2 linked regions of the Kluyveromyces lactis genome follow. The protein of the gene in region 2 purifies or fractionates together with the protein of the main gene of each other region. This does not show direct contact. Links are inferred from orthologs where the notes say so. Each region holds a gene or a part of one and is shown on either strand. Other genes may lie near its edges.

Region 1 (5,886 bases), on a different chromosome or scaffold from region 2:
CATGATTCGGAAGACAATGAGAATAATCTCACGTCTCCCCAGAGCGATCTTGATCTTTACTCTCATTCAAAATTCAACGAATACTTCAAAAGATTATCTGTTCTGCCAGAGGAACCCAATTTGCAAGAGGTAGAAGAGGAAACAGATGAACAGAATTATAAAGAATTACTACAGACACATCATGAAAAGAAAAGAAAATCTATGGAAAATGTTGTGCTAGCTTGCAGGAAACTTTTGTTCACTTTCACTGAGTGTCAGCAAAACATTAGGAAGATAACATCGCTATGTTCTGAAAAGACCATTTCGGTTAATGTTGTGTCACAGCTTTACAGTCTCAAGTCTCATATTGATAATTTAGTTGAAGTCTTGGAACAATTTGAAAATAATAGTCAACAAAATGATCCTTCAATAACGCAAAGTCAGTTCCTTCATCATGATGTTTTGATACGACTATGTTTGACCATACTTTCTATATTCAAAAAGATTTTTGTTCAACTTCGAAAGAACTTCACTGCATTTTTTGGCAATAACGACGTGTTTTTTTTAAGGGTGTTCTACATGAACATATTATGTTCGTATACTGAAATATTCAACGCCTGGAAACTACTTGTTTTGGATAACCAGGAAATGATGAAAAAGAAAAAGCTAGCCAGAACGCATTCAGTTCATTCTATGAACATGGCTCAGTACCAAAAGTATTTAAACAGCAGGCAAAAATCGTCTTCTGCTATTAATCGATCTTCTTCTCTGAGTGGCGTCTCTTCCCAACAGTCTGCAATTAATGTCAACACACCAGGTATAAATGGTCCTTATGCGAATCAAAATGGCCAACAGGTTACCCCGCCAATTAATCCAACATCTTTCACGACTACACCGATATCTGAAGTTTCAACAACACCGCCTATACTAGATTCTTCACCGAAACCACCTCGCAGTCTAAATTACAGTGAGCAATCAACTGCCTCCACAGTCACACAAGGTGCCGCACCCACCGATACCTCCAATATCCCCTCACAAGCACTTGCAGATAAGGATATAGACCTGCAGCTATACCATACGTTGAATACAGTTATTGATATGGTTAACGTTGTATATTCACAATTGACGCAGGCAATAACAAAGTCAGCAATAGCTAGTACTACCTCCGATCAGCTTTCAATAACTCCTACGGTTGCTGCAAAAACAAAAGAATTGACAGATACTTGCTTCCAATCCATGGAGTTATCGAAAGTGTTAAAAAAACGACTAAATGTGATTTCCAATAGTGATATTGACACATATTTGGTTACTAAAGAAAAGCTCAAAACTTGGGAAGATATAAATGCATTTTTGAAGTCAATCATAGCTATTCTAGCCAACACAAAGGAAATCATGAGTGATCTGCCGACTTTGAATGACGTGAGGCCTAATCTAGCCTCTTTAGCTAAAATTACAAAGGATGTTACTGTTATACTCGATCTAAGCTCTTACAAAAGTGCTTCCATTACCAATCAGCAGTCATCCTCAAACCCTTCATATGTTGGTGCAAGTTCTGTTGATGCGCCATCACAACAGCAAAATCACACAACGAATCAAGGATCACCGGCAGGTCAGCATGGAGATACCACGGATCATACAGCTTCGAATATAATAACACCATTATCTACGCCTTCGCTGGTGACTTCTCACAATGTGAATCCATTTGATCAACTGTGATAATAATGCATTTGTATTCATCCTGTATTTACGTATGCTATGTACCTCTCTCTAAGGTTTCTTGATACACCCTTGAAATTTCATAGTGATAGCCATGAATGTCATTCTTTTCCATTAATTTCGGTAGTAATATTCTGGTCCTCTCAGCTATTCCAATTAATCTAACAATTTCTGTTCCACTTATTCTAAAGTTCCCCGGAACTTTCCCGTCAATTAATCTAGCAAAAATAAAGTCTAATATAGACAATAATTTAAATAGCTTTCTTAAAGATCCATGGGTACGGGGTGAATCTGCATTAAACGTTTCAGGCTTCATGGATTGGCCTATATTACTTGAAAAACCATTATCAAAACGACCATTGGTCTCGTTATCATCATCAAATTCATCTTGCTCGGTTAATGGAAATTTATCCAAATAATCTAGAAGATCGTCTGAAATTCTGATTAGATAATATGACTGACCAAAATCGGTTGACTCAGAACCTTGATATTTTTGGTAAAGAGCAGTGTCATCCAAGTTTAATTGTAAAATAGCGTCAGTGTTGCTGACGCCATCGACTGAATACCAGATTAAATCGATCAATTTCTTGAAGTCGAGAAGGACTTGTGAAAGACTTTCATACCCTTGCTCTTTATTCAAACCTCTACTTTGGACGAATTTTCTCTGAATTTGCAATAGTCTTTCGTCTATGTAAGATACGAATTTAGATTGCTGGGATAAAGATAATCTTCTCGCATTTGAATTTGGGCCATTTTCTTGGGTGCGTGATAACTGTGGTAAATCGACGTGAGATTCAAACGGAGACCTGATGTCCAAAACAGGCTTAAAATCTTCCAGATCATCGAATTCCGGGTTTTGCTTCTCGTTATCGATGAATGTGCGTTTCAGGGTCGGAGGTACCGATCCTTCATTATCTTCCTCCATTATTACGTCTTCCACATCATCCAAATCTGGATTCAAATCTAATTGCAATAGCTCGTCCTCATTTATTTCGTTGATTTCATGTTCACCTGCGTCATGCGCGGTAGGCGTAGTTGGTGTTGGAATGGATGACATTAATTGAAAATGTTTCTTACAACTGTAAAATCTTGCTTTATATTTAAAACTTTAAGAGATGAACCGCCTTGCTATAAGCATGAAAATGTTCACGAACAGGTAATAATCTTCTAGTAGTTTCCTCTCTAGTTGATTGCGAATGATTTCTGTTGGATATTGATGTAGAGGAATTCTTAAAGATAGCACCTTTAATATTCAGTTCTTGTGTTCATTGATAATTCTTTCTTCACAGTATTCCCCAGATAATCATATGTGGATTTTCATGATGTAACGAAAATATCTTGAAAAGAGAAGAAAACACACCATATTACTGGAATTATTAAGGACATAACCAGTCCTTTAGTACATATGGCTGAGGTCTTAGATCGAACCCATGGAATGTTAAGGTGAGGAAATAGATATAAATACATAGAGGAGTTGAAGGATTTCCGACAGATACGAAGATATAAATGTTAATATTATGCTATAGGATTACAGTCAAATTACGTATGATTGTTTTGTATGTAGAACATGATTCGGGTTTGTCTATCCCGATTCAGCCTGGGAGATTATACATTAGACTAAGTGATCAGGAAACAGATTTCATTGAAACGTAATTGAAGAAGAATGATAATTCCACAAGAAGTTCATTAGAAAAGGACAAATAAATCATGATGCGGCATAGAAAAAAAGAAGTTGACAATGAAAGAGCGACAGATGATTGTAATGATGCTGACGTAAACCTTAAGAATCGAAGATGGGTATGTGCAATTAGAGGACTCTTTTTAATGATTTTTATTATGATGATAAGGATACAATCTGAAGGGTAGAGCAGATCAGAACTTTTTAATTTTGCAATCACCTGGGTGGTGAGGCGAAGCAGAGTTCTAAAGTAGAAAAGAAAAATAACAAGAACAAACGCATGTCTACACAGTGTGTGGTATTAGTATTTTTGTAAGTAATCAGGTTTTAATATTGCAGAAACGAATTTTCTGTTTGTTCGACACTGTGCTCAGGGATTTAAAATGCAGGTGCTGATCTGTTTGTAATTCTTTTATTTTTTTTAGATACCGTGGGGAAATAGAACCAGTTTAGGATTGCCATGATTGAGGACCACTTTGGCCACCACTGCTGCTACTACTTCTGCCGAATTTTAGTCTGTGTACCAATTTCGAGAACTTTTGTGATGAGCTATTAACTGTCGGTGATTGAGACGACACTGATGAAGACGATGAGGCCGTTGATCCCTTCGAGGAGGACGAGATGGAATATCTATGAGATTTTTTCAGCCTTTGAGCTGAGGGAAGAGATGGCGTTAGGGAAGGAGGTAAGACGTGCTGTATTTTCTCTTGTGGAGTTCGAGAGCTACCAAAAGATTTTTGGGTAGATGATGTGGATTCAGCCGAGGGGGAAGGTGGAGTGTTTGGTCTCAGAGGTGTTGATACTAGTGGTGGAGTAGATCGTGTCCGTGATCTGAATGTGGCAGTAGATTTAGCCTTTTGATACTCCAAACGTTCCCCGACGCTTGCCTCGTCGTCACCTTCTTCTAGTTCATCTTCTTCCTCCAACGCGAACTCGCTAAGCTTATCCAGGATTGGACTTACCAAGTCTATATTTTCTTGTGTCAGCACAGTGGTGTGAGAGTGAGAGGTATTTTGGTCTTTATCTGTGTCAGAATGGTGATAAAGAGTACCGTCCTTATGGCAGTAGCAGTCGGTGTACTTGATATTATCCGGTATATCAGAGTTTCTTTGAAATTTACTGTATGCATCTTGTAGTAAGTTTACAATGTGTAGCCTTGCTTGTTCTATAGTTTCGTGAGTTGGTAGGCCGTGTTTACGGAAGGCTTCATCGAAACAGATCCTTATTGATTCTGGGAAGTTACATTCTTTTGGTGCGTCTTCTTGGATGAAACGACGATAAACGTCATTCCAATGTGTAAACGAGAGTTTTGAGTTCGGGTTCATGAATGGATTTGTGGCTTTGATGAACCATAAGTTCTCATCACAATGTGGTTTGGCCAAGAAATCATGGAAGCCACTTAAAATTTCATCATGATGAATACAGGATAGCTCTTCATCTAACAACTCCTCTAGCTGAAGCATTATATGATTGCCAGGACTCTTATTTGTCCTTGTGTCGTAAAGTTTCAGAAGTTTAACGTCCAGCGGTTTTTAATCTATCAATGCTAAACGTAATTCAAAATCAACCAGAAGAGCGAGAGAGAGAGAGAGAGAGCGTAATATCCGTGGTCGCTGGTTAATATTATTTTTTTAATACAAGGGGAATGATACAATGCGTGAGGTGGGGGAACACTATTTCTATAATCTATATCTCTTTCTCTCCGTGTATAAGTCAGTGTCACTCCAATATTCAAAAGACTTTCATACTATTTTCGTCAACACTAAACGGTTTTTCCTCAAAAAAAAAGTAGTATACCTTCTGAAAATCTTTCAGTGAAGTAACCTTGTTGAGCAGAGTTACTGAATAAGTAAAAGTTTGTTGATATCTACCTTGAGATCGAAGTAAAGACAGTGAGAGTTTATGAGACAACTGTAAACAGGAAGCAGTTACTCTGGCTTTAAATTTTGAATTTACACATTAAACCTTTTGTGAAAACACTGAAAAAGAAATTAAATTTCACACACCCACCTAACTTTAAGCTATGTAAACTGTGTACCGAGAAAACTACGGAGGGAAATTCTCAGGTGATAGGAAGGAACGGAGATAGAGCAACAAGGTAATCTATGCAAGGAGCAATAGCTCTTACTTACACAGATGATCAAATTGTGTTTTACTAGCCGCAATATCGTAGCCGTTTTATCCTGCTAATAGAATTGTGTCTCTGCTGCTCTTTTCCCGTACCAACCCGTATTTACCCTCACTATGTTTCTTTTTCATTTTTCCTTTCCAGTTTTTTGTAAAAAAAAGAAAAGCACAGGAAAATGGAAAAGAAACATGGAAAAGGAAACTTTAATCCGTATTTCACGAAACAGTAAGAGCAAACTGGTAGGAGACAAGAAAGTTTTTTTGATATGCATAGGTCAGTCGGGAGATATTTATCGCACCTCCTGTTCTTGTCCTCGATAATTTGCGATGGGGTCTTGTCGATTCCCTAGTTTACGCTATCTATCAGATTTTCATCTCTGAAGATT
Region 2 (7,190 bases):
AATAATTCTACGTCTGCTGCTACGATAAGTGCTTCTGATATTACTACTACTGATTCAGATAGAACTAGTAATCCAAGCGATGATAGTGACTCTAAACAGGGTCCTCGCCCTTCCCTGGGCTCGCCAAAACTGACGAAACCCGTCAAACTGAGTTTGCATTCGGAGGTGCAAACTGACGTGGAGACTGACGTAGAGTCTCAAAGCGAGTAAATGACAATGCCTTTTTTTCTCTTTACCCATTTCACTTCATTTTGGTAATCCCATATCTGCCTGTTTTTACCTTAATAATTCTAAATTCTTTCTCTGTTCTTATTACACTAATCTCTTCATAACATCAATCAATTCAAATACATCTCTAAACTAATTGTAACACAAGTCTGACATATCTAACTAACATTCATAGAAAACTAAACACAATAAGCTTTAACCAAGAGTATTCTTCCCCAAGCTTAATCTGCATGCAGAGTTCCCCTATGAACTTTGGGCCTGTTTCCTTTAACATACTTTTGGAGAAACGGTCTTTGTTTCATTACTCATTGCCAAGGATTATGTCCGAAGTTCTATATTCTTCTCCACTTTAAGTCAGTTTGATCCAGATATAAAGATATATAAGTAAACATATATGGATTATAAGTATGTCCCCATGATGCTTGATGGTGATAATCAGTTGAATGTGTAATCTCTTAGGGCACATTATTGATATCAGGTTACAACTCCCCTAATAATTCAGTAATAATATGATAAAATCGACGAAAAGGGTGACTGCAGCTGTACCAAGAACTGATTACCGGAGTACGTTGAGTGGGACCGACGTTCTTGAGATTTTCTACGATGTCTACGAAACTGAGGATCTTAGAGCTGTTCCCGAGGTTAACATCGTGTTTCTACATGGAACGGGTATGACAAAGAGCATATGGGAATGGTACGTGAAATATTTCCACAAACAGATCCAAGCGAACCCTGAAAAATACCAGTATAAGCTTGGGAAGCTAATAGCAGTGGACCAAGTGAACCATGGTGATTCCTGTGTTGCCAACGAGGGGAAACTTGGCTCTATATTCCATTGGATCGATGGTTCTAAGGATATTATCAAGATATGTGACGTTGAGTTAAATCCTCCAAAACAAAACAGTTTCAACGTACTGATTGGGCATTCTATGGGTGGGCATCAAGCTCTTGGTTGCGGTATACTATCTCCAAACTTGTTTCAGCTTATCATAACCATGGAGCCCGTTGTTAAGATGCTTAACCCACCAAGTCCAAAGAAGATCACGCTTTTGAGTAACAACTATTTCAATGCTATTAGCAACATGGTTCAAGACACCTTTGCCACAAGGGACGAGTACGAGGAGTTCATGAGGAAGCGCAGCTTTTGGAGAAACTCTGATAAAACTATTTTAGATACTTTCTGTGACGCTGAGTTGATAAAACGAGGATCGAAATTCCACACGAAGACTTCAAAAGAGCAACACCTCATCGGGTACATGTGTCTCCACCCCTATGCTTACTGGTTAATTGACAACTTGAAATGGATTGAAAGCCCCGTGATTTGCTACGTGGGTGGTAAATCTAAATGGTGTCCGCCGGAAAATTATCAGCTGTTACAGGACACCATTCCTCATTACAAACGCATCCAAATCGACAATGTCGACCATCTTATGAACATTGAAAATCCGAACGTAATCGGACCGATGCTTCTTGGCCACATTACGAAAAAACTCCAATCAGCCTCAGTGGATGAATTACACAACAATAGAGATCAGTTCGAACCATTGTACAAAGAATTAGTCGCTACACGAGTCGTAAATAAACCCAAATCAAAGTTGTGAAAGATGCGGTTTTAAAGTTATAGCAGAAAGGATATCTGTTAATGTTACTTATGAAATTATATACTCAATGTAAAGAGCTTATTTCCAGCCTTAGTTGCCTTAGTTCTTTTTAGACTCGGTAGAGGTTTCGGCTGAACCAGAGGTTTCAGTAGAGTCCTTCTTTTCGGAAGATTCACCCAAGAAAGATCTAGCTTGGTCTTCGAACTTCTTGAAGTTTTCTTCTCCGACCTTAGTCTTGATTTGACCCAATCTTTCTTCACCCAAGTAACCCTCAGCCTTCTTGACCAAATCTTCACCGCTTTCACTTTGTTTCGATGCGTAGCTCTTAACACTGTCTAACAAACCCATGATGCTTCTATTCCTGATTTTATTGCTTGCTTTCTTGCTTGCTAATAATGCCTTATCTGCAAATACGTAATCTTGTGAAACTTTAATTAATATGTAAAGAAGAAGAAGAACTTATCAAAGAAACTTCTTTTCCCGGCCTCTATTTATGGCAATTACAAAAGTAACAAGTAATAGTCTTTGCAACCTTGCCTATCCGAGAGAGGGGTAACCAATGCTTACCGGCCAAAAATGTGGGTACCCAATGGTGTGCATCGTTTCCGTTCGCGACTTTTCAAAAACTTTTTTCCTAATCCGTTTGTTCGAGCCAAGATTCCTCACAGCTTTTTCAGCAACTTCTATGCATCTTAATTGGGTGCGTGTCAAGTGTGGCATTTGGTTCCGTCCATATTGGTCCGGAATTGACAAAGCGGTTTATTGTTCAATGACAAAGGTTTTTGAAGGTTTATACAGTTTAATACACAATAGTTTCGATTGTAAGTATATATTGGAAACAGTTTTGTCTCTTATTCCAAAGAGTTAGATGACGATGGTGAATGATGGTAGTTTATGGTTTTCATTAGGTGAGAATTGTTTGGAATTGATCAATCAGTAAACTTATAGGAGCCAGAAGCCATAGTGATAGACCCACCTCTGTAAGAACCTCTTTTCATCTTGTTTTTATTTTTAGTGAAATCTTTTCCTCTCACACGGCTCAACTTATCGTTGGCCATTTCACCCCAGGTACCTGCGGCACCTTTGTATGTATTATCTGTCAGGACTTCGTGTTCAAATGCAATCTTCTCTCTTTCGACTCTGGAGAAATGTTTTCTTTGTCCAGGCAATACTTCATCAACGCCAGCTGAAATCATTTGTTTCTTTGTTGAAGGTTCTTGTGATGATTCTTTGGAATTTTCAGTGGAATCAGATTCAGTTTCAAGAGGACGTTTGCTGTTGGTTTCGGTTTCTACTGCAGTTTCGCTATCGCTGCTATCGGAGTCGCTAGATGAGGAGGACGAATCTGAGGACGAATCTGAGTCTGAGTCTGAGTCTGAGTCTGAGTCTGAGTCTGAGTCTGAACTAGAGTCCGAACTAGAGTCCGAGCTGGAGCTAGAGCTAGAGTCTGAATCTGAATCTGAACTAGAGCTAGAGCTAGAGTTTGAATCGGAGTCTGAGTCAGAGCTTGAATCGGAGCTAGAGTCTGAATCGGAGCTAGAATCAGAACTAGATTCCGAGTCCGAGTTTGACGATTTCGACACCTTTACTTCCACTGCTACTGGCTCAGATTTTTCATCTTTTATCTTAATTTTGATGTCTTTTTCGTCCTCATCATCGGATTCTGAGCTGGCACTGGAGCTAGAGTCTGAGTCGGAATCAGAGTCTGAGCTGGAACTAGAGTCTGAGCTGGAACTAGAATCTGAGTCTGAACTGGAGTCTGAGTCTGAACTGGAACTGGAACTGGAACTGGAACTGGAACTGGAGCTACTATCAGAGTTCGATTCTGAATCTGAGCTAGAGCTTGAACTAGAGTCTGAGCCAGAATCCGAATCCGAATCTGAACCTGAACCTGAACCTGAACCTGAACCTGAACTCGAGCTGTCGCTGGAATTGGAACTAGACTCTGAACCACTTGACGATGATTTTACCTTTTTGTCATCTTTCTTCGTCAATTTTGGCACTGAAGACTTGGAACTTTGCTTCTTAACACTCATCTGTAAAAATTAGACTATTTCCTCACCCAAACCACTGGTGATCCTATCGTAATCGCTCTTGGATAAGATCTGAACCTACCTCATCGCAAGCTCATCTCGTTTGGATAACGCTATTAATCTCGAATTTTTTTTCAATACGTTTCTTTTGCCGTACTATGTGACGATGTCCTGAGGTGTGGTGTATGGGTTGTTTCAGTCTTACAACTACTAAAACTGTAAAAACAACTAGCAAAACCGGCCTTTTCGTCTATTCGGCAACCTCGTTGTTGTATTGTTAATCGTGGAACTACCTAGTGGTTGCAATGGTTATTAGTTGGTCATCCAACTCTAACTTATATTGGGTTTTTGGCTCATTCTGGTTATATTGTTTGTCCGGGTAATCATTTTTGCCTCAACATTATTAATCTGAAAGATGATTTTAAGAGAACTTTAACTTTAATTAGATGTTTAAGAATCAAAGTCCAAGGACGGACAAGGGAATTAAGGTCTATCCCCGGAGTCTATCTGTACACTAATTGTGTCATTATGGAAGATGAGGTAGTGAAGCGTTCATATCACACAAGAAGTAGAGGTGGAAAGGAGAAATTAGTGCAGGACACGGTTTTTTCAGATGACTCTTTGGTTACAGACGATGAAGAATACGGGGATATTGCCCCAGATATCGACGATGATGTCTTAGATGAAGAAGAGGAAGCTGAGTTAAAGGAATCTCTAATGCAGGCGAACGCTCCTGCTCCTCAAGTGAATCCTCTTTTGAGTCGGAAATCGAAGAAAAGTTCTTCTTCTTCTAGATCTGCTGCTGCTGCAACTGCTGGTAGTGGAATGAACCATAATCTAGCAGCAAAGGATGATATCCTTCATGCACATTTGGACGATATTCCCCCTGATTTTGAGCCTGACGTTGTTTCAGGAATGTTCAAGACTAACGATTTCAGCTACTTAAAATTGAAGCCGGATCATGCCTCGCGGCCTTTATGGATATCGCCTAACGATGGACGTGTGATCTTAGAATCATTCTCTCCATTGGCAGAACAAGCACAGGATTTTCTTGTGACGATCGCAGAACCCGTTTCTAGACCATCTCATATTCATGAGTACAGAATTACGGCTTACTCTTTGTATGCTGCGGTTTCGGTTGGTTTGGAAACTGAAGATATCATAGCAGTATTGGACAGATTGTCCAAGGTTCCTGTTGCACCTTCGATTATCAACTTCATTAAGAGTGCAACTGTATCATACGGTAAGGTGAAATTGGTCATTAAGCATAATAGATATTTCGTGGAAACTTCTCAAGCTGATATCTTGCAAATGTTGTTAAACGATCAAATCATTGGTAATCTAAGAATCGATACCGATGCTGCAGTGGATGCTGCGGTTAAGAAAACCATGGCGAATAAGATGGTAGATGCAGAGGGAGTGGATCCTAACGATGTGGAAGCTGTCTTTTCAGCTGTCGTGGGGGCCAATAAGGAACTTGAAGAAGAAGACGATGATATAGATGCGGTTCATGCTTTCGAAATTGACAATGCATCTGTCGAAATTGTGAAGAAAAGATGTCAAGAACTTGACTATCCGGTGTTGGAAGAATATGATTTCAGGAACGATCGAAGAAATCCAGATTTAGATATCGATTTGAAACCATCAACTCAAATCAGACCATATCAGGAAAAATCCTTGAGCAAAATGTTCGGTAACGGTCGTGCAAGAAGTGGTATTATTGTGTTACCATGCGGTGCTGGTAAGACTTTGGTCGGTATCACAGCGGCATGTACTATCAAAAAGTCTGTGATCGTGCTTTGTACTTCGTCAGTGTCAGTCATGCAATGGAGACAACAATTCCTTCAGTGGTGTACGCTCCAGCCTGAAAATGTTGCCGTCTTCACATCAGATAACAAAGAAATGTTCCAAACTGAATCTGGTCTGGTGGTCTCGACTTATTCCATGGTTGCTAACACTAGAAATAGATCGTACGATTCTCAAAAGGTTATGGATTTCTTAACGGGTAGAGAATGGGGTTTCATTATTTTGGATGAAGTACATGTCGTACCTGCAGCCATGTTTAGACGTGTTGTGTCCACTATTGCCGCACATGCAAAATTAGGTTTAACTGCAACTTTGGTGCGTGAAGATGACAAGATTAGTGATTTGAATTTCTTGATTGGTCCAAAACTTTACGAAGCTAATTGGATGGAACTTTCACAGAAAGGTCACATTGCTAATGTGCAGTGTGCGGAAGTTTGGTGTCCAATGACTGCAGAGTTTTACCAAGAATATCTAAGAGAGAATGCGAGAAAAAGAATGCTACTATATATTATGAATCCAACCAAGTTCCAGGCGTGTCAATTTTTGATTCAATATCATGAAAAGAGAGGTGATAAAATTATCGTCTTTTCAGATAACGTCTACGCTCTTCAAGAATATGCTTTGAAGCTAGGTAAGCCTTTCATTTACGGTTCCACGCCACAACAAGAGCGTATGAATATTTTGCAGAATTTTCAATATAATGACCAAATCAATACCATTTTCTTATCAAAGGTTGGAGATACTTCGATTGATTTGCCAGAGGCGACTTGTTTGATCCAAATTTCGTCTCATTACGGGTCTAGACGTCAAGAAGCACAAAGATTGGGTAGAATTTTAAGAGCTAAGAGACGTAACGATGAAGGGTTCAACGCCTTCTTCTATTCTCTAGTTTCTAAAGATACTCAAGAAATGTACTACTCCACAAAGAGACAGGCATTTTTAGTTGATCAAGGTTATGCTTTCAAGGTTATCACCCATCTACATGGTATGGAAAACTTGCCTAATCTAGCATATTCTTCTGCTAGAGAACGTAGAGAACTTTTGCAAGAAGTTCTTCTCAAAAACGAAGAAGCTGCAGGCATTGAAGCAGGTGAGGATAACGATAGCTACATTTGGAAGAATGGTGGGAACAAGAGACCAAGGAACAAATCTAAGGCTGTTAAGAGCGAAGGATCTTTGGCTGGTTTGGCTGGTGGTGAGGATATGGCATACCTAGAATACAGTTCCAATAAGAATAAAGACTTAAGAGATCATCATCCATTGATCCGTAAAATGTACTATAGAAGTGCAAATAAATGAACAATATTGGGTTTTATAATTTATCATCCGTATTAAACTGGCATACTTTAAACAGCAAATGAATCATCTTTCCAAAAATCGCATCACGAATCAGTTTTATAAAATCCTAATACTTAAATATACCACATATAATCACTATAAAAAGATGTTTTCGTCCGCTGTCTAAAATAAACAAAGAAATGATTGCTTTTGCACAGTGAATTTCAACAGTATTGATATTGTA

Evidence for each region.
Region 1: the proteins of SSL2 (region 2) and TFB6 purify together in Saccharomyces cerevisiae (affinity purification with mass spectrometry; 4 studies listed by BioGRID, with this or other methods). This does not show direct contact. The link is inferred for Kluyveromyces lactis from reciprocal best matches to the Saccharomyces cerevisiae genes SSL2 and TFB6.

Annotation. Positions count from the first base shown.
Region 1 is NC_006039.1:1,120,095-1,125,980, forward strand, and holds TFB6 (TFIIH complex subunit TFB6), read right to left. Parts: upstream 2,753-5,886; coding exon 1,733-2,752; downstream 1-1,732. Other genes in the region: SOG2 (Sog2p), read left to right, coding at 1-1,695; GTPase-activating protein RGS2, read right to left, coding at 3,823-4,836. UniProt on the Saccharomyces cerevisiae protein: Component of the general transcription and DNA repair factor IIH (TFIIH) core complex, which is involved in general and transcription-coupled nucleotide excision repair (NER) of damaged DNA and, when complexed to TFIIK, in RNA transcription by RNA polymerase II.
Region 2 is NC_006041.1:1,154,021-1,161,210, reverse strand, and holds SSL2 (TFIIH/NER complex ATPase/helicase subunit SSL2), read left to right. Parts: upstream 1-4,390; coding exon 4,391-6,967; downstream 6,968-7,190. Other genes in the region: DNA-binding protein SRL3, read left to right, coding at 1-210; LPX1 (triglyceride lipase), read left to right, coding at 738-1,829; KLLA0_E13069g (uncharacterized protein), read right to left, coding at 1,929-2,177; SRP40 (Srp40p), read right to left, coding at 2,759-3,865. UniProt on the Saccharomyces cerevisiae protein: ATP-dependent DNA translocase. Component of the general transcription and DNA repair factor IIH (TFIIH) core complex. When complexed to CDK-activating kinase (CAK), involved in RNA transcription by RNA polymerase II.